Xenopus tropicalis: one gene and its partners. The protein of the gene in region 5 binds, or shares a complex with, the protein of the main gene of each other region. Links are inferred from orthologs where the notes say so. Each region holds a gene or a part of one and is shown on either strand. Other genes may lie near its edges.

What was found.
Region 1: the proteins of ncbp1 (region 5) and nelfe are in contact, whole or in part, in a crystal structure (PDB 5OOB), measured with the Homo sapiens proteins. The link is inferred for Xenopus tropicalis from reciprocal best matches to the Homo sapiens genes NCBP1 and NELFE. Residues at the interface, in NP_002477.1 of Homo sapiens: Tyr461, Lys511, Lys557, Ser558, Ser560, His561, Ser564, Lys568, Ile609, Arg610, Gln612, Cys616, Lys647, Met648, His651, Glu705; in NP_002895.3 of Homo sapiens: Arg362, Ile365, Val366, Tyr367, Ser368, Asp370, Val371, Tyr372, Gly379, Phe380.
Region 2: the proteins of ncbp1 (region 5) and ncbp2 are in contact, whole or in part, in a crystal structure (PDB 5OOB), measured with the Homo sapiens proteins. The link is inferred for Xenopus tropicalis from reciprocal best matches to the Homo sapiens genes NCBP1 and NCBP2. Residues at the interface, in NP_002477.1 of Homo sapiens: Glu32, Cys36, Leu71, Thr74, Val75, Arg77, Leu78, Leu79, Ser324, His325, Trp326, Lys327, Glu328, Arg329, Lys330, Ile368, Val370, Met371, Thr374, Glu378, Asn415, His419, Ser422, Asn423, Gln425, Lys455, Arg458, Leu459, Ser460, Tyr461; in NP_031388.2 of Homo sapiens: Gly4, Leu5, Leu6, Lys7, Leu9, Arg10, Ser11, Asp12, Ser13, Tyr14, Glu53, Glu54, Gln55, Tyr57, Glu58, Leu59, Lys62, Ser63, Asp65, Lys67, Ile69, Tyr89, Asn96, Arg99, Tyr100, Asn102, Gly103, Thr104, Arg105, Leu106.
Region 3: the proteins of ncbp1 (region 5) and ncbp3 are in contact, whole or in part, in a cryo-EM structure (PDB 8BY6), measured with the Homo sapiens proteins. The link is inferred for Xenopus tropicalis from reciprocal best matches to the Homo sapiens genes NCBP1 and NCBP3. Residues at the interface, in NP_002477.1 of Homo sapiens: Lys330, Ile377, Glu378, Cys380, Lys381, Pro384, Pro388, Gln389, Ala392, His420, Asn423, Phe424, Gln425, Arg427, Trp428, Ser429, Glu431, Asp432; in NP_001107590.1 of Homo sapiens: Glu572, Asp574, Glu576, Leu577, Gln578, Ala580, Trp581, Gly582, Leu584, Ile585, Lys588, Glu589, Arg592.
Region 4: the proteins of ncbp1 (region 5) and phax are in contact, whole or in part, in a cryo-EM structure (PDB 8PNT), measured with the Homo sapiens proteins. The link is inferred for Xenopus tropicalis from reciprocal best matches to the Homo sapiens genes NCBP1 and PHAX. Residues at the interface, in NP_002477.1 of Homo sapiens: Cys380, Lys381, Pro384, Pro388, Gln389, Leu391, Ala392, Thr395, Phe417, His420, Leu421, Asn423, Phe424, Gln425, Arg427, Trp428, Ser429, Asp432; in NP_115553.2 of Homo sapiens: Ile114, Asn115, Asn116, Ile117, Trp118, Gly119, Val121, Leu122, Glu124, Gln125.
Region 6: the proteins of ncbp1 (region 5) and ppargc1b are in contact, whole or in part, in a crystal structure (PDB 6D0Y), measured with the Homo sapiens proteins. The link is inferred for Xenopus tropicalis from reciprocal best matches to the Homo sapiens genes NCBP1 and PPARGC1B. Residues at the interface, in NP_002477.1 of Homo sapiens: Glu26, Asp29, His30, Ser33, Leu34, Lys37, Val38, Lys41, Ser42, Ala43, Cys44, Asn49, Gly52, Leu53, Val56; in NP_573570.3 of Homo sapiens: Tyr1006, Glu1007, Ala1008, Met1009, Asp1010, Phe1011, Asp1012, Leu1014, Leu1015, Lys1016, Glu1017, Ala1018, Gln1019.
Region 7: the proteins of ncbp1 (region 5) and srrt are in contact, whole or in part, in a cryo-EM structure (PDB 8PMP), measured with the Homo sapiens proteins. The link is inferred for Xenopus tropicalis from reciprocal best matches to the Homo sapiens genes NCBP1 and SRRT. Residues at the interface, in NP_002477.1 of Homo sapiens: Tyr461, Gln463, Lys511, Lys557, Ser558, Ser560, His561, Ser564, Ala567, Lys568, His570, Lys607, Ile609, Arg610, Thr611, Gln612, Met648, His651, Glu705; in NP_056992.4 of Homo sapiens: Asp857, Pro858, Arg859, Val862, Glu863, Tyr864, Arg865, Asp866, Leu867, Asp868, Ala869, Asp872, Asp874, Phe875, Phe876.

Annotation. Positions count from the first base shown.
Region 1 is NC_030684.2:74,052,615-74,056,114, reverse strand, and holds the end of nelfe (negative elongation factor E), read left to right. Parts: intron 1-834; coding exon 835-1,081; 3' UTR 1,082-1,207; coding exon of another isoform or gene 1,208-1,352; 3' UTR 1,353-1,431; coding exon of another isoform or gene 1,432-1,486; 3' UTR 1,487-2,305; coding exon of another isoform or gene 2,306-2,408; 3' UTR 2,409-2,784; coding exon of another isoform or gene 2,785-2,894; 3' UTR 2,895-3,267; downstream 3,268-3,500. UniProt on the Homo sapiens protein: Essential component of the NELF complex, a complex that negatively regulates the elongation of transcription by RNA polymerase II.
Region 2 is NC_030681.2:106,058,488-106,062,732, reverse strand, and holds the start of ncbp2 (nuclear cap-binding protein subunit 2), read left to right. Parts: upstream 1-1,445; 5' UTR 1,446-1,479; coding exon 1,480-1,548; intron 1,549-2,777; coding exon 2,778-2,959; intron 2,960-4,245. Other genes in the region: protein NCBP2AS2, read right to left, coding at 750-1,076. UniProt on the Homo sapiens protein: Component of the cap-binding complex (CBC), which binds co-transcriptionally to the 5' cap of pre-mRNAs and is involved in various processes such as pre-mRNA splicing, translation regulation, nonsense-mediated mRNA decay, RNA-mediated gene silencing (RNAi) by microRNAs (miRNAs) and mRNA export.
Region 3 is NC_030678.2:48,502,625-48,506,124, forward strand, and holds part of ncbp3 (nuclear cap-binding protein subunit 3), read left to right. Parts: intron 1-2,338; coding exon 2,339-2,447; intron 2,448-3,500. UniProt on the Homo sapiens protein: Associates with NCBP1/CBP80 to form an alternative cap-binding complex (CBC) which plays a key role in mRNA export. NCBP3 serves as adapter protein linking the capped RNAs (m7GpppG-capped RNA) to NCBP1/CBP80.
Region 4 is NC_030677.2:168,322,561-168,326,832, reverse strand, and holds the start of phax (phosphorylated adapter RNA export protein), read left to right. Parts: upstream 1-1,472; 5' UTR 1,473-1,623; coding exon 1,624-1,737; intron 1,738-2,249; coding exon 2,250-2,857; intron 2,858-4,272. UniProt on the Homo sapiens protein: A phosphoprotein adapter involved in the XPO1-mediated U snRNA export from the nucleus.
Region 5 is NC_030677.2:107,416,976-107,420,475, forward strand, and holds part of ncbp1 (nuclear cap-binding protein subunit 1), read left to right. Parts: intron 1-235; coding exon 236-336; intron 337-2,006; coding exon 2,007-2,163; intron 2,164-3,500. UniProt on the Homo sapiens protein: Component of the cap-binding complex (CBC), which binds cotranscriptionally to the 5'-cap of pre-mRNAs and is involved in various processes such as pre-mRNA splicing, translation regulation, nonsense-mediated mRNA decay, RNA-mediated gene silencing (RNAi) by microRNAs (miRNAs) and mRNA export.
Region 6 is NC_030679.2:44,011,391-44,014,890, forward strand, and holds part of ppargc1b (peroxisome proliferator-activated receptor gamma coactivator 1-beta), read left to right. Parts: intron 1-75; coding exon 76-230; intron 231-832; coding exon 833-936; 3' UTR 937-3,500. UniProt on the Homo sapiens protein: Plays a role of stimulator of transcription factors and nuclear receptors activities. Activates transcriptional activity of estrogen receptor alpha, nuclear respiratory factor 1 (NRF1) and glucocorticoid receptor in the presence of glucocorticoids.
Region 7 is NC_030679.2:151,511,792-151,516,064, forward strand, and holds the end of srrt (serrate RNA effector molecule homolog), read left to right. Parts: intron 1-371; coding exon 372-450; intron 451-533; coding exon 534-710; intron 711-1,055; coding exon 1,056-1,229; intron 1,230-1,444; coding exon 1,445-1,598; intron 1,599-2,008; coding exon 2,009-2,202; intron 2,203-2,324; coding exon 2,325-2,487; intron 2,488-2,571; coding exon 2,572-2,661; intron 2,662-3,322; coding exon 3,323-3,573; 3' UTR 3,574-3,773; downstream 3,774-4,273. UniProt on the Homo sapiens protein: Acts as a mediator between the cap-binding complex (CBC) and the primary microRNAs (miRNAs) processing machinery during cell proliferation.

The DNA of each region.
Region 1 (3,500 bases), on a different chromosome or scaffold from region 5:
ATACAATAGTTGCTAATATTCTACAGATGCTGATGTATGAACTAATATAGTAATTAGTTACTAACATAGCAATTGCTAACAGTTCAAAGTATGCACCTGGATTACTGAGCTTCTAGACTTAACCTATCACCCTGTAATTGGTTCCCCCATCAGAGGTGCAGGCTAATAGGCCCAGCATTTTGGTTGGGGAAACCAATGTTTTCCTTTTTTTTTTTTTTTTTTTTTTTAAAATACAGCCCCCGCCATTGCTAGGCTGCCCACACTGAGAGGGAGCTTCCAGAGTGGGTGGCCGCATCGTCTGCTGCGCATGCACATAATGAGTATGTCTCCCCACTCACTCATTATGCGCTTTTGCCTGATGTAGGATTGGTGGATGTGATTCACCCTCCTACGTCACACATGAGTTGCGAGTTTTGGCATCCACTCATTATGCACGTGCGAATGCCACAACATGGCTGCCAGCAGCTATTGTTTCTCTTAATCAGAGTGCAGGCTCTATTAGCCTACACCTTTGGTGGGGTAACAATTTAAGGGGGGTAGGTGTCCTTTAAACACCAGAGAGAGAGAGAGAGAGACAGGAAAGTTTAAACTTCAGTATTAGAAAAAGAGAACAAAGTACAGAGTAAAGATGTATATATTTTTATAAACTACTTCTGTGTTATTCTACACTAATTAGTAGAGATAGCACAATAATTTTCTCTAGTGTGTTGAACTGTGTATAACTATTTAGAAATTTGGCTCATTAGAATGAGTAAATCTTTTAATCCAGATTTATTTTCTTATGTACTTCTTTTGTACCTTTTCCTTCCTAATTTTTTTCCCCCCTCATTCTAGTTTTGTCAGCCCGAGTGAGCGAATGAGAGATCCTGAGAGAGAAAGCGAGGAACGAGAGAGTGAGAGGGATACTCGTCGAGGAGAGAGGGAACTTTTAGAGAGAGAACCTTATGATAGAGATCGTGGAAGAGAGCGAGATCGTGACCGGGACAGAGAACGAGATAGAGACCGAAGTGAGAGAGACCGCGAAAGAGATCGTGAAAGGGACAGAGATGGCTTTTACCGCAGTAATTTGCCACTTTTTTGATTTTTACTGAAGCAGAGGGCTGGAATTATAGCTCTGCTATTCATCTTAGCTTCCCTTTGCCTAACTTCCTTACCAGGTCTTCATTTACTAATGATTTAACCAGTGCCTTTGTCATGCATCCTGTAGGATCAGATTCATTCCCTGAACGTCGGGCTCCAAGGAAAGGTAATACTGTTTATGTTCATGGTGTGGGCATGAACCAGACAATGCTTCGTGAGGCTTTTTCCAGCTTTGGGAACATTATTGATCTTTCTGTGGATGCTCCAAGGAAGTAAGTAGGCACTGTATGGACCTTACTAGTGTGCTTTTAGGCTGGCAACCTTTTAATTTTGGGGGCCTTTTATTCCCAGCTGTGCTTTTGTTACATATGAGAAGATGGAGTCAGCTGACCAGGCTATTTCAGAGGTGAGTTTTGCTGCATGGTTTCCTTTTACTGCCTCCTTTATTCCATTTGATACTGCTATTCTTTGTCATTGTCACTTTGGAGTATTAAACACATAGAACTGAAAAAATGGGATTTTGTTGTTTTTTTTTAAGCCGTTTTTGTTTTCTCAGATTTTTAGAAAATAAAGATTGGGCTCTTTATTTAAACAGCAAGGCTTCTAAAACTGTGCTATGCAGTGTTGTATGCTTCACTAAATGTTTGCTATAATTATCTGCTTGATTGTTTGCTATGATAAGTGTTGGAGGCCTTAAAGGAACAGTAACACCAAAAAATTTAAATGTCTTAAAGTAATTAAAATATAATTTACTGTTACCTAAACTGGTGTGTTTGCTTTAGCAACACTATTATATTTTATATAAATACCCTGCTGTGTAGCTACAGGGGCAGCCATTCAAGCTGGAAAAAAGGAGAAAAGGCACAGTTTTTATAACAGATAAGACACCATTGTATTCTACTGAGTTTATCTGTTATCTGCTATGTAACCTGTGCCCTTTCTCCTTTTGAATGGCTGCTCCCATGGCTACACAGCAGCTTATTTATATAAACTATAGTAGTTTTTCTGAAACAAACACACTACTTTTACCAGTGCAGGGAAATAGTACATAATATAATAATTATTTTGATACACTTTCATTTTTTGGTGTTACTTTTCTTTTAAAAGTATATCAAACAGCTATACTTTGAGAAGTTTAACCTCATGCCCCTATTGGGTCAAATTCCTTGAACCTCTGTAAAATTTGTTCTCACGTCTGAACTGAATTCTTCTTCTTCTAATTCAGCTTAATAACAAGGTGATAGAAGACATACCAGTGAAGGTTAGCATAGCTCGCAAACAGCCTATGTTGGAGGCAGCCACAGGAAAATCAGTTTGGGGTTCATTGGGTAAGTTGTAACTTTATATGTAAATGTTTCTCTTGCAATTTCTCTACAAATATAGTCATAAGGCTGCAGAGCTACATTATGGACTGCTGGTGAAAGGGACAGTACCAGCATGATATTGCTTTTACAAGGCAAGCTGTAGAAGGCAAGAATCTCTGCAAACCTGTAGCACCCGGTGGAGGTGGAATGTGGACTGCCTATTTACACTAAAGGGCAATTCAGAAGTTAATAGTGCAACCACATGGGTGCTCTGACAGCACAGGCAAAACAAAGAAGACTTAACCAATAAGAAAACTGTCCCCTTCTGCCCTGGATTGGTACTTAACATTATATAGTAAAATGTCACAGATTTATCTTCTGTTTTTCTTTTCCTTCACAGCTGTACAGAACAGTGTTAAAGGTTCACACAGAGATAAGAGGTCTCAGGTCAATTACTCTGAAGATTTATTTAGCGATGGTCAAACTGATGCTGATAAAAAGCCAGGATAAAGAGAAGCGAGGAGAAAGAGAATATTAGGGCCCAAGATCTCTATGTGTACATGGTACACATGGTTGAGGATGGTAAATAAAGTGACCGTTGACTATTTAAAGAAACAAGACTGTGCTTATATGCTATGCCCAAGATTTTTTTTTTTTAACTATAATTTAAAATGGCTTTTCAGTTATTTGTGGATATGTAGGTTACTGTTTGCATTGTCCCTTTAAATATGTACTCTACATTCCTGTAATAATGATTTAGTGACTACTTTCTACTAATTGGCTTTATCTCAGTTGTTTTGGGCACATTTACCATCTCAGCATGCATAGAGTATGCCAATAGACACAAGGAAGGTAAATAAAATTACTTGTATAAGGTACAACAGGAGGTATTGGGACCCAAGTTATTTCTTGAGTATCACAGTAATGGTATATGTTTTGTCACATGTAACAGCCTAAATTATAGACAACCTTAATATAACACTTTCCATTTCAAACTGGAGACTTGCTAGAAAAACTCACACACTCAACTATATTTTTCAGATGTGGTTTATCACTTAAGAACATATAAGTATGAGCTCTTCTGCTGTCTCAGCAGCACTGCAGCATGACTTAGAA
Region 2 (4,245 bases), on a different chromosome or scaffold from region 5:
AATGTATGCCCGTCTCCCTATTCTGACTTCAGAATAACCCTGCTTACATACACTGTTGCTCTACCAAATATACTAAGCTCTGTTAACTCCCCAAGCATTGTGCTTACAGTATTAGACTTATTATTCCTACCAAAAGAAATCCTGTTGCCTACATACACAACTATTGTTTCCTCCAGTGCTTTACTCAGCTGGTATAAAGAATTGAAAATTCAGGATATTCCCAAGTGTCTAGGGGTAAGGTTCATTATATTGTGGAACCCAATAATGACAACCAGATTAACCAGGTTGTTAATAATGAAGCTACTCCTGGAAAAACAGATAACTGACATGCGTGTTATTGGGCATTCTACATCCAGCGGGACCCCAGGGCTTTCCCCATTTACAAGCAAAGTACAAATTATGAACCATCTACTTTCTCAGGGTAAAATAAAAAAAAGAGCAAAATCAATGCTTTTAAACACAAATGTATACATTTATTTTGAAATCTTCTCTAAAAGGCACCTTGTCACAAGCTGACAAATTCTAGCTCATTTACCCACACAGGGCAGTAGTAGTTATGAAATCCAATCAAATGTTTGTTTTCAAACTTCAGTTTGCAGCTAACAGTTACCCACTGACTGGTTGCTATGGGTAACTACGCCCAGTGATGGAACTGATGTGGGAGGCCCTGGATATTGCTGTAGTGCCAGGGCAAGGTAACCAGCTGCCTCCGTGTGTAAGTGGGCAGTGTGTGCGGCTACAGTTTATCATTATTTCCCTTCTCCCCTTTTGATCTGTTTCTTGGCATCCTGCAGCCCAGTCCGGAACTCCCTGAGGAAAGTGTCCTTAATGCGCTCCGCCTTGCGGCCCATCTCCCACATGTCCCGGGGGGGCCCAGCCCTGCTCGTCTCCTGTCGGATCTGTCGCACAGTGTCGGAGCGCAGGATTCTCTGGGCCGCGTCCTTGCCGCTCAGCTGAGCCTTGGTGACAGCGAAGGCAGTGATTTGCGCTGCTCTCCGTATGGGCCGGGACTCGGAGAGTTTCTCTATCAGTTGGGGGTTATTGAGCAGAGTAAAGAGCAGTCTCCTCAGAACCATTGTGCTAATTCAGTTTCGCTCTCACAAACACCAATGTCGCTTAATTCACTATTGAGCCATACTGCCGCTCTGTAAGATCCGCCACCTACGGCAAAACGTACAAATGCTAAACTGGGCAGAGGTGCAAATGAATTATATCGCTGCGCCCCACCATGTATAAAAAGCAGTCCCGGCTATCGGCTACACTCGCTCCATACTCACTCACTGCTCGATAGACTGCACTTGTGCGCCGCTCTCCGCCAATCCCAATTCTCACGGTCACCTGCCTGACCTCACTATAGTTTCCGGTTCACCCGGATACAATATTACACTGCTGCTCTGTGATTGGTCCTTGTGCGGCTTAATGGGCGCCACTTGGAGAAGATTAGTGAGGAGACTGTAGCTTCTGTAAGGAAGAACCGACATGGCTCTGGGTGCCCTAAAGAGCGACTCGTACGTGGAGCTGAGTCAGTATCGGGACCAGCACTTCCGGGTGAGCTGCCGGCGGCACCTACCTGTTTGGGTTGGGCGGGCTGTGCCTGTTAGTAGTGCTGTAGGCAGTGGGGGCACGCATTCTGCTCAGAACCAGCCTCCTTTGTCTCACTGGCCGGGATACGAGCTACAGTACCAGCGGGATCTGTGTGTTGTTCTGTTGCTTCATTCTCCCCTACTGCAATAATCCCTACTTGAGAACTCTATTGCCGGTTTCTAATCCTGTATCATGTAACACTGGGGGCTCACACTCAGTTCTGGACTGGGATTCAAAATAGGCCCTGGCATTTTAAGTTCAAAGAGACCCAAACAGCCCTCACCAGCCCCTCTGGTATTTGCCAGAACCCACAGATTGCCAGTCCGGCCTGTTCATAATAACTCATTATGGGCATCTCTCATATACCCTATGAGCTCCTGCTTTCCCATGCTGGTGTGTGCTTCTCTCTTAAGGTCCCCATACACGGGCCGATAGAAGCTGCCGATATTGGTCCCTTGGACCGACTTGGCAGCTTATCTGCCCGTGTAGGGGCAGAAACGAGGGGCCTGGCCGACCGATATCTGGCCTGAAATTGACCAGATATCGATCGGCCAGGTTAGAAAATCCAGTCGGATTGGGGGCCGCATCGGCTCGTTGATGTGGCCCCCGAACCGACTGCCCCATGGCCGCAACTGTAATCCGATCGTTTGGCCCCAGGGCAAAACAATCGGATTATTTTTTTTTAAAGCTACTTGCTACCCGATATCGCCCACCTGTAGGTGGGGATATCGGGTGAAGATCCGCTCGCTTGGCGACATCGCCAAGCGAGCGGATCTTATAGTGTATGGGCACCTTTTAGTTTCTGTCATCTAATTGGGTATGTGTCACACACTTCCAGAGGAACCAGAAGGTAGTTTGTCTGAACGTATTAATGTACTTACCTGCTTTGAGGTATCTGCAATAGCATTGGCTTGAATGACCTGCCAGCATGGAGTGACTTGATGTGGCAGTCAGGCTTAAACTGACATTATTGCATTATAGAAGTTAACCCAGGTTAAGCAGGCAATTATTACAAAACAATCTGTGTTGATAAATGCATTGAATAATTAATTGTATGAGAACTAGATGATTTTAATGATTGTGGCAGGGCTGCCTCTAAAGACTGTGAAAGTTTATTTTTTTTTAATAAGAAAATAAGGATGCAGTTTGTCTTCCAAATAATCACTAATTATGTTGATTTGTTTATATTACAGGGAAACCGGTCTGATCAGGAGTGTCTGCTAAAGCACAGTTGCACCTTGTATGTAGGAAACCTGTCATTTTATACAACAGAGGAACAAATCCATGAACTGTTCAGCAAGAGCGGCGATGTTAAAAAAATTGTTATGGGGCTCGATAAGATTAAGAAAACAGCCTGTGGATTCTGTTTTGTAGAGTATCCTTTTTATATATTTTTTTTTTTCAATCCTTTTTTTTTTTTTTTTTGCCCACTTTTGAGGAGGACCGGGTATATATAAATGTAGCCCACCCCTAGGTGTGGCTTGGATACTAGCAATACGACTATGTTGATACCCCAAAGATTTCCCACTGTATACCAACACAAGTAAAAAGTAAACCTGTATTTATTATACAAGACGGGGCGGAAATAAATTGGTAGTTAATGCAGAAAATAGAAACAGAAGGCAATAACAAAATGTAGTGAAATGCAATATAAATCGTTTAAATTCACACAGGAATTTAAATTTTACAAGGTAAATAGACACCTAATATGTGATGTATGGGTGTTTGGGAGCTCCCCTTTAGTCCTAAAAGCCAGCAATGTTGGGGCCCTTAACTTCCAGGATGTCTAAGCTATGTTTTATAGCTTTAAATGCAGATCTCACTTCCAAATTCTCATTATTAAACTAGTGTCTTCGATGGGCTGGATTGCAGTCTGTGTCTGGGAAATCGCTGTTCACTCTTTTAGCACACACACCCCTTGGACTTTAATGGTAATCTCCAGCAGATCCCCACAGTAATTTCCCTTAAATGCACTTCCTTCCAGTCCCCACCAGTTATTTTTTACACTTTTCTTTCTGTAGAACAGGGCTGTCTAACTGGCAGCCAGTGCCCCCCCTCCCTTTGTAAGAATGTTATCAGTACTGAGATTAACTGGCTCACTGCATCATTCACACCTCATGTTCAGGCTGTAATCCCCCTGTATTGTTTAAACATTTAGTCCCCTATACTGTTTACCCCTTTTAGGGTTTGCATTGTTTACCCCTGCATTGTTCACACTCAAACTGTAAATGCACACATTGTTCACCTGTTCACACCTCAGTATGAGCATTGTGTCACTGTATGTGTCTGGGTGTGCCATACTCTGCCTGTGTGTGCCATACTCTGCCTGCCATATGGGAGGTGAACCTGGCAGGGGCTTGTTCTGGGAGTTTGTTAGCAGTTGGAAATAGTCATTATATGGTCCCTAAGGTGTGTAATTATGTGCTGGGGTTTGCTGTGCTATCTACAGGGGAGTAGAAGCCATATAGATTTAAGGGTATGTCTTGATATAATATAATTCTTTCACATATGAATGAAGTGTGATATACCTACACCAACCATTTGGGTTTTTGCTGTGCTACCACCATTAATGTGGGCATGGTCTTAAAAGCTCTTGTGATAACATGGGTGTGGTTTGAAGTGGGTTCAGTTTAAAAAAGGGGAGTGGTCAAAACTTGGCTT
Region 3 (3,500 bases), on a different chromosome or scaffold from region 5:
AGTAGTAACAGTAATACCAAAAACTAAAACTATAATATACTATTGCCCTGTACTGGTAAAAGTTGTGTGTTTGATTCAGAAACACTACTAGAGTTTATATAAAAACCCTGGCATGTAGCCATGGGGGCAGCCATTCAAAAATAGAAAAGGCACAGGTTTGGGCCGTGGTAGACGGGGAGATTTGTCGCCCGCAACAAATCTCCCTTGTTACGGGTGACTAATCTCCCTGAAATGCCATCCCACCGGCTTGAATGTAAGGGCTCTGGCACACGAGGAGATTTGTCGCCTGCGTTTTTTCCCCCTGGCGCTTTGGCGACAAGTCGCCAAGACGATACCCACAAAGAGATTTCATGCGAGTTGAACTCCAGGCGATCTGCTACCCATGGTACCACTCAACAGTTACCCCTCCCTCATGTTTACTCAAGTCGTTCAGAAAAGGGTCTGTGTGCGATTTGAAACAGCAGGCGATTTGAAGTAGCCTCGTATGTTTTGACGCTGGCGATTTCCATTGATTTAGCATTGGCGTCTTGTCGCCAAATCACTCTTTTAAAAATCGCCGGTGACAAATCTCCTCGTGTGCCAGAGCCCTAAATTGCCGGTGTAGTCTTATCTGGTATGTAACCTGTGCCTTATCTCCTTTTTTTTACAGCTTAATTGGCTGCTCCATGGCTACAGATCAGCTTATTTTTATAAACCTATAGTAGTGTTCCTGATGCAAATACACAGTGTTAGGGCTCTGGCACACGGGGAGATTAGTCGCTCGCGACAAATCTCCCTGATTGCGGACGACTAATCTCCCCGAATTGCCATCCCACCGGCGACAATGTAAGTCGCCGGTGGGATGGCACACGCTGTGCAGACGATTTCGGCAAATCGCCGAAGTTGCCTTGCGAGGCATTTCCGGCAATTTGCCGAAATCGCGCCGCCGCGTGTGCCATCCCACCGGCGACTTACATTGTCGCCGGTGGGATGGCAACTCGGGGAGATTAGTCGCCAGCGAACAGGGAGATTTGTCTCGGGCAACTAATCTCCCCATGTGCCAGAGCCCTTAGGGCTATGACACACAGGGAGATTAGTCACCACGCAACAAATCTCCCTTGTCAAGGCAAATTGCGGTGCCGCATATGCCTTCCCACCAGCGATTTACATTCTAGCTGGTGGGATGGCATTTCGGGGAGATTAGTCGCCCGCGACAAGGGAGATGTTGCGCGGCGACTAATCTCCCTGTGTGTCACAGCCCTTAAGGTATGGTGATCTAATTACTGAAAGACCCCTTATCTGGAAAACCCCAGATCCCAAGCATTCTGGCTACCAGGTCCCATACCTGTATATTATAACAGTGCAGAGAAACATAGGATTTATACAGAAGCCATAGTGGTTATATAATGCATAAAGTACCCCCTATTGTAAAATGCAATATTATAAGTCACGAGGCCAAAGGCCGAGTGCTTTTATACAGGTCATGGAACTCCAAAGCTCAGTCTTAATTATATTCCAGGTCAGTGGAGATTTTAGGAGCAATCCTGGGCTTTTTTTCCAGAATTCCTTCTACTTGCATACCAGTAAGGACATCTCTCATCAACCATAATGCTTTTTTAGCTAAACCACTTCCCTGGCTCTATTAATGCTGATTGGTAATTAATGCCAGTTTGGTAATCCAATCCGCATACTGACCAGCGTGTGCTTTAAAACCCAGTGAGTAAAGGTCCCCATACACGGGCCGACTATAGCTGCCGATATCGGTCCCTTGGACCGATTCGGCAGCTAATCGGCCCGTGTATGGGGAGAGCAGAGCGGCCAGATCTCGATCGGCCAGGTTAGAAAATCCAGTCGGATCGGGGACCGCATCGGCTCGTTGATGCGGTCCCCGATCTGACTGCCCCATTGCCACCCACATAATCCGATCGATTGGCCCCAGGGCCAAACGATCGGATTATTTTTTTTTTTTACCTAAATGCTCCCCGATATCGCCCACCCGTATGGCCACCTTAAGGCTTATTATCAAGGGTTTTCCATGTAAATGACAATTTAAGGAGGAATCTTGAACTTTTATCCCAAAATTCCTTCTGCTTTGCGTAATAATGAGAACATCTCTTGTCAACCGAAATGCTTTTTTTTTTTAATTTTTGGGTGACCACAATAATAAAAGAGCCTATATTTTTTAATGTTAGACCAGTTATTTTTTATATATCATAGGGTTCTATAGATGTGTATGCACATGTACACATGGGGGACAAGCAATTAATATATAAATAAATGTAAAAATGAGTTTATTGTTTTGCTGCATTTTGTTATACATTTTTTATTTACTTGACCATGTGTTGCTATATTCCAACAGCCAGATACCCTTTCCGAAGCTGAGCAGGCATCTTTATTGAAAAATGAGCTCCGGCCTTCTAGTAAACCAGTGAAAGGAAATAGTCTGTACATGAGATTTGCCACTAAAGGTAAGGCATTATTGTCCTAAGCAACCACAGGCAATTTATTTTTGTTTCTGAATGCAAAGTTTCACTTCTTATTTTACTGATTTAGTTCTGAACATGAAAACAATCAGTGTTTTCCTCTTACACAGCTAAGCCTGCCCCTAATGAGTTTGGGCTGACCTTGGCATATCATTGAGCATGTCTGGCAAGCCAGAAATCAAAGCAAATTCCCGAGGCGGGGGGGGGCGGGGTTTACAGGAGAAGAAGCAAATCTAAGTGATTAAAGGAACAGTAACACAAAAAAATAACTTTTGACATATCCCTTCTAAATACTTTATTAAGATATGTAGCATTTAAAAAAATTCAATATTCTACATGGTTTCAAAATAAATTACATTACCAATGCCTTACTGTGCAGAGCTTGAAAAGGCGATACGGCGACTTCCGGTTTAATCCGTTTTGTGTGATTTATGGGCTATTAGCAGTTGGGGCGAGGAGAGGGGATTAGAGACATACCGTTTCTTCTTTACAGATAAGTCTGCATCGCTGTTTGAAGTAGCGCTGTGTGTGCCTGCATGAAGAGGGAGGGGGGGGGTGGAGGGGGGAGCGGAACGGAAGCGTGGTGCGAGAACTGCTGCCTGCTCTCTATAAATCAGTGCTAAAGTAAGATTTCTAAGAAAAACTACTACTGCTGTTGAAATTTTTGTATGATATATTTGATAATGAAAGTATATAGAAGGGATATTTTGAATGTAAAAAAATTGTGTTACAGTTCCTTTAAGGGGATGCTGCAGCCTTACTATTAACCTCTGGACAACCAGAGTAGCAGGTATTGAAAGATTTCCAAGAGGCTGATTACATTTTCACTGATTTACATTTTTGTGTGTGGGGTTTACATGTCCTTTTAAAATGCCTTTAAAATGTCCATTTTCTAATTTGTACCTTTTAATGGACTCTCTGGGTATTTCTCCTCTTTCTTAGGAGGACAGACACCAGGGGGGTTACTTGTCCTCTTTCTTGAGTGGCAGGGCACTAAATGAACAATTCACATACATGGCCATGCAATGTTCTATCATT
Region 4 (4,272 bases), about 61 Mb from region 5:
AGTTGTGATAACAGAGGTTAGCAGTCCAGGTGGCCAGATAATACATAGGGGCATATTTATTATAGTGCATAAGCCAACATCACTGGTGATATTGCTCATAGCAACCAATCAGAAATTACAGTTGAACGGTCACCTAGAAGTTAGAAAATAAAAACAAAAAGATCTGATTGGTTGCTATGGGCAACATCGCCAGTAATGTTGGCTTAAATACTATAATACATTTTCCCCATAGACTTGCTGTAGTACAGGGGTTGCTAATAAGGTTGCTACCTGGCTGGTATTTTCCTGGCCTGGCCGGTAAAAATAATGCTTGGTGCCAATGATATTAATCGAGAAGATAAAAACTATAGGAGGGCCAGAATTTTTTTTCCAGAAAACATGGCAAGCCTAGTTGCAAATGAACCCAGAATGTAAAATTGCTTGACCTTCAGGACCTAAGAAATAAATATTTTTAAACAATTTCACAGTCTGACAGGTGGGCAAGCACACAAATTAGCACTTAAGGCTGATGCCACACGAGGCGTAGGGCTGATATTTTCGGCAAGCGGAAAAACGCTTGGCGAAAATTCAGCCCTACGCCTGCTACTTGTGCCTGCACCCGAATGAATGGAATACGCTGTATCGGCTATATATCGGCTACATGTGCCTGCACCCGAGCGTATCCCATTCATTCGGGTGCAGGCACAAGTAGCAGGCGTAGGGCTGGATTTTCGCCAAGCGTTTTTCTGCTTGCCGAAAATATCAGCCCTACGCCTCGTGTGGCATCAGCCTAATATTATGGATGCTGGCTAATGGCAACACCCAGGGTCAGACTGGGGGGTGCAGGGCCCCTGCCAGCCGCGTCCCCTACCCCCCCCCCTGCCGGGGTCCCCCACAGGTTCCCCACACCTGATGTCCTCCCCTGAGCGTGTGTAAGTTTAACGCGTCAAGGGAAAACCGGTCGGGCGGGGGGGCGCTGACCCTGGCAACACCCATCACCCTTACTCCCAGCAAGCCTGCCTGTGAGATGTCTGCACACAGCAGGATACACCAGGATAGGGGGCCCATAAGAACTCCTTTTTATCTGGGATAACTTTGGGCAGAAACATCCTGCAGAGATGGCAGACCCCTCATTGTAATCAACAGGAAGAACTTTACATAATAGTTATTTTAAATTATTTGCCTTTATTCTTGTAGCATCACCTTTTTGTAACGTATCTGCTCCCGGGGCTATTGGTCCAGTATGTCCCACTTGGTTAGCGTGTCTAGTTTAGTAAATAAATGTTAATGTAAATGTAATGTAATGTAGTAAGTACAGACCATTTTCTTCCCTGCCTGCCTTATATTGAAGTTGACATGCTTGAGTTTTATTCTGACACAAATTTCCGGCCAATGGGGGCCCGCCTATTAAACCTTAAAGTGACGTATAGTTAGTAACCTCGCTAAAAACCCCACGGCCATTAATAAGTACAATTTCCAACAAGCAATGAGCGAACAAGCAGTTCACTTCCGAGGCGGGACGGTAGGATTGCCCATTCCAATCATGGCAGATCGCTTACAATGGGCTCTCGGCTAGGTCTCGCACTCTCATTCGGCCCCTGAGTTTTCACTTTCTCAACGTATTTCCGTATCCGGCTGGGTATCATGGCGCTAGATGCAGCCCGGGAAATGATGGAGGATGAGGGCTTGGAAGACGGGGAGCTAAGCGGCTCTGACACAGACATGAGAACGTCGGGAGTGGGGAACAAAGGGCAGCAGGTAGAGGGAATGCCGGCCTGTGGGATAGTTGAGGGCTCCCTGTGGCAATAAGTAAAGCCAATGTGTTAGACGTGATGTTCCATCTGCTATCATGCCTCTACCCTGCAGTCTGTGGTAGCCATACCTTGCCGGAGCAGTAGCCATATAAGGCCCTGTTGGGCGATATACCTCCCCATGCTTTTATATATCCATTGCTGTCATTTTATTTTCTCACTTTGATGTCAGAAATTCCATAGAGTTGTGGCACATAATAGCATTTGCTGATATAATGGAAGTTTTAGTTTCTTTAGTTGTTTCTTGGCATTGCGAAATGTAACCTTTGCTGTACTTACTATTGAAGCATGGTGCAGTGTTTTGTTTCCCTGCAATTTTCTATCGTCCATATTAATGATGATTAGTTTAACCCTTTAGTCTTGAAATCTCTGATATTTCTGTTTCTGCTAACACATAATATTGATTAGTTATACTTTTTGAAAGGCATCTTCCATTGAACTGATTTTTTATATTTTCAGAAAACAGATTTAATCACCACTTCACTCAGTTACCGGAGTAATAGTACCCTTTCAAATAATGTCCCCTACCGAACGACTAAAGGTCTGGACTCGAGTGAAGATAGTGCATCTGATTCTGATGATGAAGATGGTTCTTCATGGAAACGTAAACGGCAGAAGTGTACCCACCCAGCCCCTAAAATGGCCAGACCTCTTCCTGTACTGCAGGGCCAACAAAGGCCTATTGGCACGGGGGGTACAAAGCGTAATAATGTATGGGGAGCTGTCCTTCAGGAGCAGACCCAAGAGGCAGTGGCAACTGAACTAGGTATTATGGATATGGAAGGCCAACTGGATATGAGTAGGCAATCGGAGACATATAATTATATTCTTGCCAGGAAACTGATGGAAAAAACAGAAAAGGAGGAAGAACTGAAGCTGGACAAAGAACTAGATGAGTACATGCAAGAAGATAAAGAGTCTGCACCAAAAGAGGAAAATGGGCACCTCAAGAGGAAACGACCTATTAAAGAAAGACTGGGAGAGAGGTTAGAAATGGATTACAAGGGCAGATATGAAATAACTGAGGCTGACTCAGAAGATAAAGTCTCTGATGAAATTGCCCATAGGTAAGATTGCAGAGCTGTTATCTGCCTTAGCATTGTAGTATTATGCTTGTAATGGTGGCTCTTGCATTACCACTGTCAAAGAAAAATATTCTAAATACTTTAGTACAGGGATGTTGGATCACAAAATAATGAGACTTAGGGGCTGATTTACTAATCCACGAATCTGAATCCCGAATGGGAAAAAATTGGATTGGAAACTAACATTTTGCGTATTTTCGTATTTTTTGCGACTTTTTCATAGCCATTACGACTTTCGTGAATTGTCGCAACTTTTTCATAGCCATTACGAAAAGTTCGCGAAAAAGTCGCAAAATACCGATCATTACGAAAAAACGCATTTGGGCGCTTTTCGGACGTTCGTGGATTAGTAAATGTGCCTCTTGGGGTAATAAATGCAGTAAGTGCTAGGATACAGCTGATTTAGCATTCATCTCACAGGGTACTATAACTGTCTGCAAGCTGAGTCCCTGTGGAAGGCAGCCACAGATTATTAGACAGTTAAAGTAAAGTCTGCCAAAATAAAGTTAAAAGTTCTTCTAATGTTAGTGCAGTCAAGCAACCTTCTTGTTGCGGTTTGTGTTTTGGCCAAGTAAATAAACCCAAGTTTTCCCTATGTAACTAGACAAAAAAAATGCGGTTTAAAAAGATATATATCCATCAGGATCAAATTTTGTAATTTCTTGTTGATCCAGAGGAAGGCAAATATAACATGTGAAGTTTTATCTGAATTTCTCCATTAGGCTATTGGTCCAGCACCTGGGTTAAGGTTGTACTAAGAGGTAATTTGAGTAACCTTGTATTTTCTAGCAAAAGGTATCCATTATTTTCTTGAAACTATCTAATGTATCTGCCAGTACAACTACTTTATGAAGAGAGTTCCAGAAATTCACAGGTATCGCTTTGGCTAGCTTGTTTATGCTCTTGTTTGTATTGGAGGTCATAGGGGCCCAGGAAGACTGGGAACTTCATCAAAGCCTTTCAGCATAAGCATGTAAAGAATAACTGAGGTCTAAAGAATGAGGGAGTCTAAAAAAATGTTATCATGGGAACTATAAAGTTCCAGTTACACCACTGCCCATTACTAAGGGGTAGTATCAGACATATCAGAGGGCAAAGGAGGAGCACTGCTGGGAATTCTGATAAAATAATCTGATGATCAGGTACAAGAGGGGGGTTGCTACCACATACTACAGACTTTGTGTAATGGCTTTCCTTGTTCTTTAAGAATGACATGCTTAGTATTCTGAAACAATCTTTACAGAATACATATTGTGACTAGGTGTTGTCAGGCAAGACCATAGAATGTAAATAGTTGTTAAAGGAGAATAAAAGCCTATAAACACTATGCTCCCTTAATGGGCCTTCCTTCTGAACTGTATCACTGCAGACTCCTAATACTGCATTATTTGCCATAC
Region 5 (3,500 bases):
CTGAAGTTGCTTCCAGTAGCCCTCTTCCATCTACTTTTCTGCTAATTCACAATTTGGTAGCCTCCATGTGAAGTGGCAACCTACAAGATGCTCTATTTCAACCGCATAATTCTTCATTTGTAATGCATACTTTAAAGCAGTTAACTTACAGTACAAATATTAAATATGAGTTCTTCATTGTTATTGATACTGATGGGTTTTAGTTATTTAAAATCAATTATATCGTCTTTTTCAGAGTACATCCTCACTGGAAAGCAACCTAGAAGGTTTGGCTGGTGTCTTGGAAGCTGATCTGCCTAACTATAAAAGCAAGATCTTAAGAATTCTTTGTTCAGTGTAAGTATGACACATCTTTAGATATTGCCGTGTGTAGCTTTGGCTACTAGAGTGGTGTGTGAAGGATAAAATATAATTTATGAAGATTTAAGGGGGATGTAAACTCAAAATTATAAATGCTGCCTAATGAAAGAAATTGGCATTTAAAATTTATTTTTAATTGAAAGCTGTATTTGTCTGTCCTTTTCACATGTTGTTCTGAGTTTTGAAACAGAGTAGTAGATTCCAGATCTCATCCAGCCAAAGACCAATATTCTGAAAGTGCAATCCAATTTACAGGTATTGCAACTTTTGCAATTGGTCTTCATTTTTTACAGTTTTTGAGTTATTTGCTTTTCTCTTCTGCCAACTTTTAAATCAGGGTCACTGACCCTGGCAGCCAAGAAACATGTTTTTAAAAAGCTGAAATTTTATTGTTGATACACTAAAATAACAGAGAAACCACATATTTAAAAAATGAAGACCATTTGCAATTTGTCTTAGGGTAAAGACACACGGAGCTACTAGTTGCAGCTACTTTTTCATGGCTACTAAAGCCAGAAAATACTGTGAAATGGCTCTGTTAAAAATCAGACAGTTGTCAGTAAATGACCAGCATTGTCTATTTTTGTATCCATGACAAGTAACTGCTACTAGTAGCTCTGTGTGTCTTCGCCCTTAGGATATCAAGGTTTACATAATACTAATTTAATTTCAAGGCAAACTACCACTTTAATCACCTGGCTTTTCTTAGACACTTATTACAGTCAGAACCAGCAAGGCAATGAATAGCAAGATGTAGACAAATGGTGCTTTCAGTAGCAATTATATTTACAAGAAACTTTAAAACTAGTAAAAGTTTTATTGCTATAACCTTTTTAAGACCAGGTTGTAGCAAGAGGAGTGCCTTTATATCCACTAGTTTTCCTGGCAATGTAATAGCATAACATGCTACAATTTGCTTCTTACATTGTTGTCTGCTGAAATCATGTAGGTCAGGGGTTCTCAACCTTCCTAATGCCGTGACCCATTAATACAGTTCCTCATGTTGTGGTGACCCACAACCATAGAGGAGCGGTGTTTCGGTTACCTAAGACCATTGGAAATGGTTCCGATGGTCTTAGGCAACTCCCAAAGGCGTCCCGACCCACAGGTTGAGAACCACTGATGTAGGTGGTTATTACTGGAGTCACAGACTGTGGGGAATGACTTAAGGTTATTTTTTTTTTTTTTATGTCAAAGATTATTTTCTACAGTTTTAACCTAAAAATGCACAAGCAAAAACGAACCATTTCTGGCCATTTTCCCATAGGCAGCAGTGGAATGGAGGAGAATGGATGTGCATTGTGTTCTTAAAGGGATACTGAACACTAAATAAAACAAAATATTACTGTACATTAAAAGTTGCCTATAGGTCATGTTGATAGAGTTTGTAATGTTAACAGACTACTGCTGCACAAATTTGGAACCCTCCTCATAGAGGAACATGGGTATCAGATAGGTAATGTAAAAGCACTGAGCAAATACTTTTAAGGTAACATTATAAATACCACGCAAAGACAATGTTATGATAGATGTAAAAAGGGGTTTAATATATGCTGTCAGTATCTCTTTAATATGATCAACACAGTTGTCATAGACCTCAGATTTGCAAAACTGCTGTACTTATACCACTGCTTTTTTTTATGTAGTGCCCGAACGCTGCCTGAAAAAATGACTGTGTACACTACATTAGTTGGGTTACTTAATGCCAGAAACTACAATTTTGGTGGTGAATTTGTGGAGGCTATGATACGTCATCTCAAGGAGACAATTAAACTGAATGCTTACAATGAAGCTGTATATTTAGTAAGTGTCCATTTACTCTTAAATCTGTGTCTAGTTTGTTTTGGCAGTTCTTTTGCACTCTCCTGATGCATAGATTCAAACACTATGGGGGTTATTAATCAGTGGTTTTTTTTTTTTTTAAGATTTAAGTTTTTTGGACTAAAAGCCATGATTTTGAATAATGGATTAAAAAAACACAAGTTTTCAATAATTAAGCAAAAAAAAAAAAATTGTCGACCCATTAAAAATTCAAGGTATTGAATTGGGTAACAGCACTTTTAGCATTTTTTTTTTTACATGTCGAGGTTATTCAAAGTTTGAAAAAAAATTACAATTTGAACGTTGATAAATAATGCCTGTATATCCATGGGGATGCCACATTCTCTTCAAGACTCATTTGGTTCATTTGGCTTAAATGGTTTTTCTATACACCGAGAAATAGCATTGCATTTGGCATAACTGCTTTATTATTCTGAAAATATTTAATTGGGTTGTGACTCTTACACAAAGCCACTTTTATTTCCATATTAGTTATGGTGCATACAAACGGTACCTTCTTAAACACTCCTTTTTTTGTGTGTCACTTAAAGGAGAACTAAAATTATTTTAAAGCCCCTCATAGGTTACACCAATCACTTAACTAGACTCCCAAAAGGGGCCCCCATAACCTTGGTACTGTCCCTGACCAGGAGCATGCTTGCTAGCAGATGGACATAGGTCAGTCTTCTGTGGTTCAATTTTTCCTTGGCAGCTGCCCCTGTAGAGCCTCAGACAGGATGTGACCTGCACAAACATGATGGCCACCAACCCAGATTCATAATCTGCTTTGGGCGCACAGGAATGGGGGTCCTATTCAGGAGTTCGGTTGATGCAGTTGGGAGGGGCACTTATGAAGGCACCTAGGCTTTTTCAAATATCTTTACAGATAAATATCCAAGTAGAAAGACTTTTCTACCTATAATTACTTTTGAGAAAAAGTTGCAGAATACTGCAAATCTGATCCACAATTTTCACTTTCTAATGCTGTATTGTATGCAAATATCAGATTAATCAAGCTACTAATTCAGCCCGATGGATCTGACTGCCATCACACAATATGGAGGTATACATTAGGCCTTTGAAAAAAAATCTTGCATGCTAGTGGAATCTATGCTTCCAGGTAGCATTTTGACAAACTGAAAAATCTTTTGCAGTCGAGAATGTGAAATAATTCAGCCCATTAATTGATTTGATTGCAGTTGTTTTTGGATGCAGTATACAGTCAGTCACAACTGAAGAAGGCACTCTGAGTTTTCTTGAAACCGTTTCACCACTCAAAGTTTAGTTTTAGACTTAATTCTACTAAAAACTGTAGTCAC
Region 6 (3,500 bases), on a different chromosome or scaffold from region 5:
GTTTTATTTTATTTTCCCCCCTTACACTGGGGACTGGAGTTCCAGAGATTAACCTATTATCCACTGTCTCTTCAGGGGAGAGAAATACGGCTTCATAACCTATCGGCATTCGGAGCATGCAGCCTTGGCTCTACAAAAAGGAGCCTCCCTGAGAAAACGGAGTGAGCCCCCTTTACACTTGAGCTATGGGGGGCTCAGGCATTTCTTTTGGACCAAATACAATGATCTAGGTAAAAATATTGACCTGTTGACCATATTAGCATTAGTGCAATAGGCCCTTATATTTTAAGTACACAAAGGCCCAAACCACCCCCACCAGCCCACTAAATAGTGACTGTCTATGGCATCATACAGCAGCCCCTCTGTAGCCTTATTCTACACTACTGTTATATCTGAACACCAAGTAATTAGCACCACTATGGCATACATAGGTCATTTTTACCTAACTTTAACCAGGTCTATGTCCTGCTGCCATGGCTCATTTTCTTATAGAATGTGCAAGTGACGTTCTTCTACAATAATCTCATTCGAAGGCTTTCCCTGAATACGTTGCCTGGCTTCATGCACCTTCTACAGTGAGATGCAAAAATCAGCCTGCAGACTTAGGCATGCTGGGAATTACAGTCCTCAGCAACTGGAGTTCTAAAGGCTTCCCAAACTTATATGAAAAGAATGTTATTACAAAAGTAACCAGACCAAGTGATTATGACATACTGAACTCTCTGAGACATTAGGATGGCTTACGCTAGATTAATATTTCTCTTTTCTCTGTTTTAGAGTTGTAGACAGAGTCTTGCCATAGTTAACCCCTTGTTGTCCCAATCTTATACAGATTCAAATGCAGTGGAGCCTTCATCAACAGTAAAAAAGAGTAAATACGAGTCAATGGATTTTGATAGCTTGTTGAAAGAGGCACAAAGAAGCTTGCATCGATGACAGCCTTAACCCCATTAGGAGGAGCACCTCAATACCTCAAGTCAAGGCACTTCCCCCTATGTTTACGTTTTAAAGAAAAAAAAACAAACAAAAATGGAATACAGAAACAAAAAGACTTTATCCTTTAAATTGATGTTTACATTGAACAAAGCTGCTTCTGTATGTGATTTTTCTCCATGGTGTCGCTGTCTCACTGCCACAGTTTAGTATACTTGCTTCCCGGGTGTGTCTGTCGTCGTCCCGTCTCGGCCTCTTCTCTTTCCTGTTGTAATTGCAGCTGCGTTCTCCATAATATTTTGTCTGTAGTGCGTGTAAAAGAAAAGAAAAAAAGTCAAAACCATACAAAAATGCAATGTCATTTGTGACTAGAGTCTAAATTACAAACTAATTTTAATAGGAGAAAGATGTATATTCTTAAATGAAATGATGTATTTATGGTTCACATGTACTGTATTTCAGATTGATGTATGCTTCATTTTGAACTATGCACTGTAGTGGGGTGTTTGCAAAAGATCAAAAATGTAATCCTCATACACTAATAGCCATGAACCATTACTGGGCATTACTCTAAAGCTGAGAGACCGCAGGGCTTTCATAGAGTTACTACGGTGGGGAAGAATCACGAATATCTATTGGTAGCAAAACAGAGTCTTCAGAGTCTTTCGCAACTGAGGTCACGGAATCTTCAGGACTGAAAACTGCATTTTAACTTCTTTATAACTTTTACGTTTTTAAAAATATATATATCTCACACATTTTTCTTTAACAGTCTTTATCCCAAAAAGTATTTTTAAAACTGAAATAGCAAGATGCAAAGAACATATATTGCAATGTCACTAACTGGTAGCCAGCCCCATGTATTGTGGTTGTTATTGAGTGGCTTCTCTTACCCGTTTGTGTCTGTGTCATCCTTGGGAAATCATAAAGTACAAAGAAATACATAAATATAGTTGCAATCATAATATATAGCATTTGCTGTGCCTGTTTTAAAGGGATGATTAACCTTCAGGTTAACACTTAGTTATAAAACTATTTGCTTTTCTTTTCTGAACTTTCCAGTTTTCGAAGGGAAGGGGGGGGGGGGGGTCACTGACTCCAGCAGCCAATAAACTATTGCTCTATGAAGCTACAGTTTTATTGTTGCTGTTACTTTGTATTACTTATCTTTCTGTTTAGACCCTCCTTTATTCATGTTTCTGTCTCTCTTTCTAACCACTACGTGTTTTGCTAGGTCAAACTGGACCATAGCAACCAGATAGCTGCTGCAATTTGAACTGGAGAGTTGCTGAGCAAATAGTTAAATTCAAAAACTGCAAATAATACAAAATGAAGACCAACTGCAAATTGTCTCAGAATAGCACTCTCTGCATTATACTAAAAGTTAATTTGAGGGTAAGCCACCCCTTTAAGACCATAAATTGTCTCCACATGGCACAGAATGGACTGATGCAGCCTAAACCTAATGGGTGCCAAAAGCATGAGAGCTACAGACAGGTGACAAAACACTGAACATTCTTGTTAAAACCTTTGAATAACTAGTGCATTCCCATGCCGCTGTCACTTTAAAGCAATCGGTTTTATTGTCTTCTAACTGACAGTGAGGTTATATATCAGTTTTGTAAAATATATAGTTTTTATTCTGTGTAAGCACTTTCAGAGACACCTTATGATTTAACCTAATTGCTCAGTTTAAGCAGTACAATGTACTACACATTTCCCAAAATGCATACAGCCATAAATATCCTCCTATACAAGTGCTGAAGAGAGTGGCCACATTGTCTACGCATGGTTATGTGGGGCTGTATAGCCTAATAGCCTGTCCATTGCTGATTTTCAGCCAAATTCATGGCTCATGGAGTTGGATATTTGTTTTAAACTCTCATTAAATGCATTACATTTAAAAAAAAAAAAAACAAGTCCTGAACATAAACAAGACGAGAGTTACTTTTCTGTAACCAAGGGACGGTATGGTTTATTATGGTATTTGAACTGTTCAGTCTGTCATGCACAGTATGATATTTGCTCCAAAGACAACCATGACATAGTGGACGCCATGTTATCCTCTTGCTAGCAGGGAATGCATGGGGCCGCTGCTTAAATAACACGTGGAGGTCAAATATGCGGCCTTCAACGCCCATTGTATCCTAAAAGCTGCAGGTTTCATGTCCCTGTTGTAGCACACAGCAATACTCATTTGAATGCTGAACAAATAACACAGAGTTGGGGACTTTCAGTCTCCCACCTTACAGTTTCAGCTTGTCACAAAAAGCCATTGTTTCCTCTGACACAGATGTGTTAGGGACTAACCATTAATGTCTGAGAATTGGGGCTACTAGCTCCAGTTAGGATTTCTTGAATATTTAGCAGGGTAGCATAGAATGTAGGATTAAGCCATTATGCGTAGTTAGCCTTACTTCTAGAAATAGTCATAGCTGGGATATTTTCCGGTTTCATATTCTGCCAAAGTTTCCAGCAGCACCCATAATCCCTTGCAAGGATTATAACTTACTCTTTGGCAAACACCTTATCATAGCTCTGCCTTTTTCTATCATTGTATTCCCACA
Region 7 (4,273 bases), on a different chromosome or scaffold from region 5:
ACAGTTTGGCGTTTTAGCAGGTATCTGGTTGCTAGGGTCCAAATTACCTTAGCGACCAGATAGCAGTTTGAATGAAAGGATTGCAAAGGAATAGGAGAAGGCCTGAATAGAAAAACAAGTTATATATAGTAACGATAAAACTGTAGCCTCACAGAGCAGTAGTTTATTGGCTGCCGGGGTCAGTGACCCCCATTTGAAAGCTAAAAAAAGTTAGAAGTAAACGGCAAATAGATTAAGAATTATAAAAAATAATGAAGACCAATTGATAAGTTGCTTAGAAAAGGCAAGTCTATAACATACTTAATAATAAATGCAGGAATTCCCATCATTGCTGCACACGGATTAAATGTGAGTCTCTTCCCTTACGGCAGGTTTCTTCGGAAAGCATACGTGACGTTCGATCGCAGCGTCAACATCAAGGAGATCTGCTGGAGCGTGCAGAATATCCGGGTATGTACCTTGCCCCGCGGGCTGCCTGCCATTGGCCGTACGGTCCTCCCCCTCTTATCCCATTGCCTTATTTCTCTCCCCAGCTCCGTGAGTGTGAACTGAGTCCCGGGGTGAACAGAGACCTGACCTATCGAGTGCGGAATATAAACGGCATAACCATGCACCGCCCCATTGTGCGCAATGATATCAAGCTGGCAGCAAGGCTGATCCACGCTCTGGATGAGAGAGCTCTGCTGTGGGAGGGGGAGCAGGGGGACCAGGTGAGACACACATTCGAGTTTCATTGGGTTTGAGAAGTCACAGGTTTAACCCCTACATTAGACCCCCACTCCATGCACATAAGGATATAGATAGATATAGAGAGAGAACTGTATAGACAAATCTACACATACCTATATAGTCCTATTCTTTTAGGGCTTTGGGGTGCTCGGTTGGACAGGGGACTTAGGGCTTTGGGGTGCTCGGTTGGACTGGAACTGAGGGCTTTGGGGTGCTCGGTTGGACTGGAACTGAGGGCTTTGGGGTGCTCGGTTGGACGGGGACTGAGGGCTTTGGGGTGCTCTGTTCTAACCTCTGTGCCTCTTGCTTTGCTCCATCATATTCAGATGGTTTCAGCCCAGAATCCCATTCTGAAGAACATCACAGACTACCTTATTGATGAAGTGAACGCAGAGGAAGAAGAGCTCTTATTTAGTGCGGGAAGGACCCCTGAAACAGAGACCCCCAAGGAAGGGAACCCCACAGAGATCAGCGTGGAGCGGGACGAAAAGCTTATCAAGGTACTGCCATTTGTCCCAGCGCCGTGTAGCTGTGTGTATTGGGCTGGTACTGCCTCCACGGTGTGTATAGATGTGTCATGTACAGTGCAGGCACGGGACCTGTTATCCAGAATGCTCGGCACCTGGGGCTTTCCTGATAAGAGATCTTTCCATAATATAGATGTCCAATGATTTAAGCTTACTAAATTTATAAAAAAAAATTTCCCCCTACTTAGGTGCTGGATAAACTCCTATTTTACCTTCGTATTGTCCATTCTGTTGATTATTATAACACATGCGAGTACCCCAATGAGGATGAGATGCCAACGCGGTGTGGAATGATGCACGTGCGCGGCCCCCTGCCCCCCAACCGCGTGTCACATGGTGAAGGTACAGACCCCAGATATAGACTCTGCTCAGTGCTTCTTGTCTTGTAGTCTTAGTACTTACCTGTATTGCACAGGGGGGAGGTATTCGGAGAGGGAAGGTGGGTATCGGTGGAGAGATACTCGGTACCGTTATACAGAGAGGGGAGAAATACTCGGTACCATTATACAGAGAGGGGAGTGATATTCAGTACCGTTATACAGAGAGGGGAGAGATACTCAGTAGCGTTATACAGAGAGGGGAGGGATACTCAGTAGCATTATACAGAGAGGAGAGGGGAGATACTCAGTACCGTTATACAGAGAGGGGAGGGATACTCAGTAGCATTATACAGAGAGGAGAGGGGAGATACTCAGTACTGTTATACAGAGAGGGGAGATGACTTTTCTCACTTGTGGGCCTCCCCCTGGCAGTGGCCGAGTGGCAGAAGACCTTTGAGGAGAAGTTGTCGCCCCTGTTTGCGGTTCGGGAGACCCTGTCTGAGGAGGAGGCAGTGAAGATGGGGAAGAAGGACCCAGAACAGGAAGTGGAGAAGTTTGTGACGGCCAACACCCAGGAGCTGGGCAAGGAGAAGTGGCTGTGCCCCCTCAGCGGCAAGAAATTCAAGGTGCGTAGATTATTTCAGTGATAGGACGACTGGGCCGGGGGCTCCTGTTATGGGTCCGGGGCAATGGATCGTGGGGCATTTAGGGGGAAACCCACTGGAACTAATTGCCCCTTTGCCCCTAGGGACCGGAGTTTGTGCGCAAGCATATCTTCAACAAACATGGCGAGAAGATTGAGGAGGTGAAGAAGGAGGTGGCGTTCTTCAACAACTACCTGATCGACAGCAAGCGCCCCGCCCTCCCCGAGGTCAAACCCTTGCAGCCGCCAGTTGGTACAGCCGGGCAAGGTAAGTGCAGGCAGGTGAAACCACTGTATCCGTAGCTTCCCTCTGTCTCACCCCCTCACTGTGCTCTTTGTCTCTCTCCTTCAGCATTGGCCGCTGGGCTGCTGTACCCCCACCAGGGACCCCAAGCCCTCCTACCTTACGCCCAGCCGCGGCCCCCTGTGCTGGGATATGCAGGTGAGTAGCCCTAGCAGCCATAGTCTGCCGTACTGGTAGGAATGATAGGCAAATGCTAGTATGATGTAGTGAGTGATATTCAAAGACAATTTGCAGTTGGTCTTCATTTTTTATTTGTAGTTTTTTTTTAGTTAACTTTTTGTTCAGCAGCTCTGCAGTTTGGCGTTTCAGCAGCTATCTGGTTGCTAAGATCCAAATTACCTTAGCAACCAGGGAGTGGTTTGGAAGAGAGACTGGTATATGAATAAGAGAGGGGGTGAATAGAAGAAGTTACAAAAAGTAACAATTACAATAAAACTGGAGCCTCACAGAGCAGTAGGTTTTTGGCTGCTGGGGTCAGTGACCCCCATTTAAAAACTGCAAAGAGTTGGAAGGCGAAAAAATAAATAAATATAACAAATAAATAATGAAGACCAATTGAAAAGTTGCTTATAATTGGGCGTTCTATGACATACTAAAACTTAATTTAACTGAATGTCCAACTAAGCAGCTGATCAGCCAGTTCTGCTTATTGCCTGTAGGTGGCGCCCAGCTCATAGTTATACATAGTTCTACTAGAGCTTGGCCTGACCTGCAGCCTCTGAGATGCCAACTCGGCAGCCTACTGGGCTGGGTCGGGCACCAATCCTGCCTTTGGGTCTAACTGTGCTTCTCCCTATAGGCGCGCCTCAGTTCCCTCCTACTCCCTACGGGGCTGGACGTGGAAATTACGACGCTTTTAGGGGCCAAGGGATGTACCCTGGAAAACCACGTAACAGGTTAGCGTTGTCTCTGCCTTCCTCCATTCTGCCTACGTGTCTGTCTGTGCCTTCACACTCTTCCTCTCCTCCCCGCAGGATGATCAGGGGGGACCCACGTGCCATCATTGAATACCGAGATCTGGATGCCCCCGATGATGTGGAGTTCTTTTAAATGCCCCGCCTTCTATTTTAGCCGCCTCCCTTTGTTGCACTTTCCCACTGCCGACCGTGCCCGCGCCATGCCAGTCCCTACGCCCCTCCCAAGGTTTATTTTGTAGCCGGTTACAGGACCTCTCAGCTGCGGCTGAACTTGGTAACGTTGGTCTTTTTGTTTAATAAACAGATGAACTCACTGCTGTGAGCAGCTTTTTAGCTCGGGTCTGAGATTATTTCTGGGTCGCGGCTGCTGTGTAAGAACCTGCCCGATGCGCTCGGGTTAAATGGTAGGGGGGGTGCACAGTAATTTTTAACCCTTCCCGGTCCTAGTTATTTGGATTCGGTTCAGGGGTTCGTCAGTGCATCCCTAGTAGCAATGAAGGAGGAACCTGATTTTACTATAAGGATTTACTATAGGAGGAGGAGTGGGGTCCTCTGGCTCCCATTGTGCATTGCCAACAGTTATACTTTCATTCATTCTTAGTTCTAGGCCAGTTGCCCTGGGCAGCACGGTATCCTTAGTAGTGATGTGCGGGGGTCAGCCTGGGACCCTTCAGTTCTGCCTCTCGCCTGCAACCCACTTCTGGGTCTATTCATAGGCACGTGCCTGCCCCCTCAGTGGTGTCATAGGTGGGGCAGGTTGGGGTCTATAAATAGACGTAAAGCTTGCGGGGGGGGGAATTGGCAGGTTTTGGTTGACCAATAGTCAACCCACC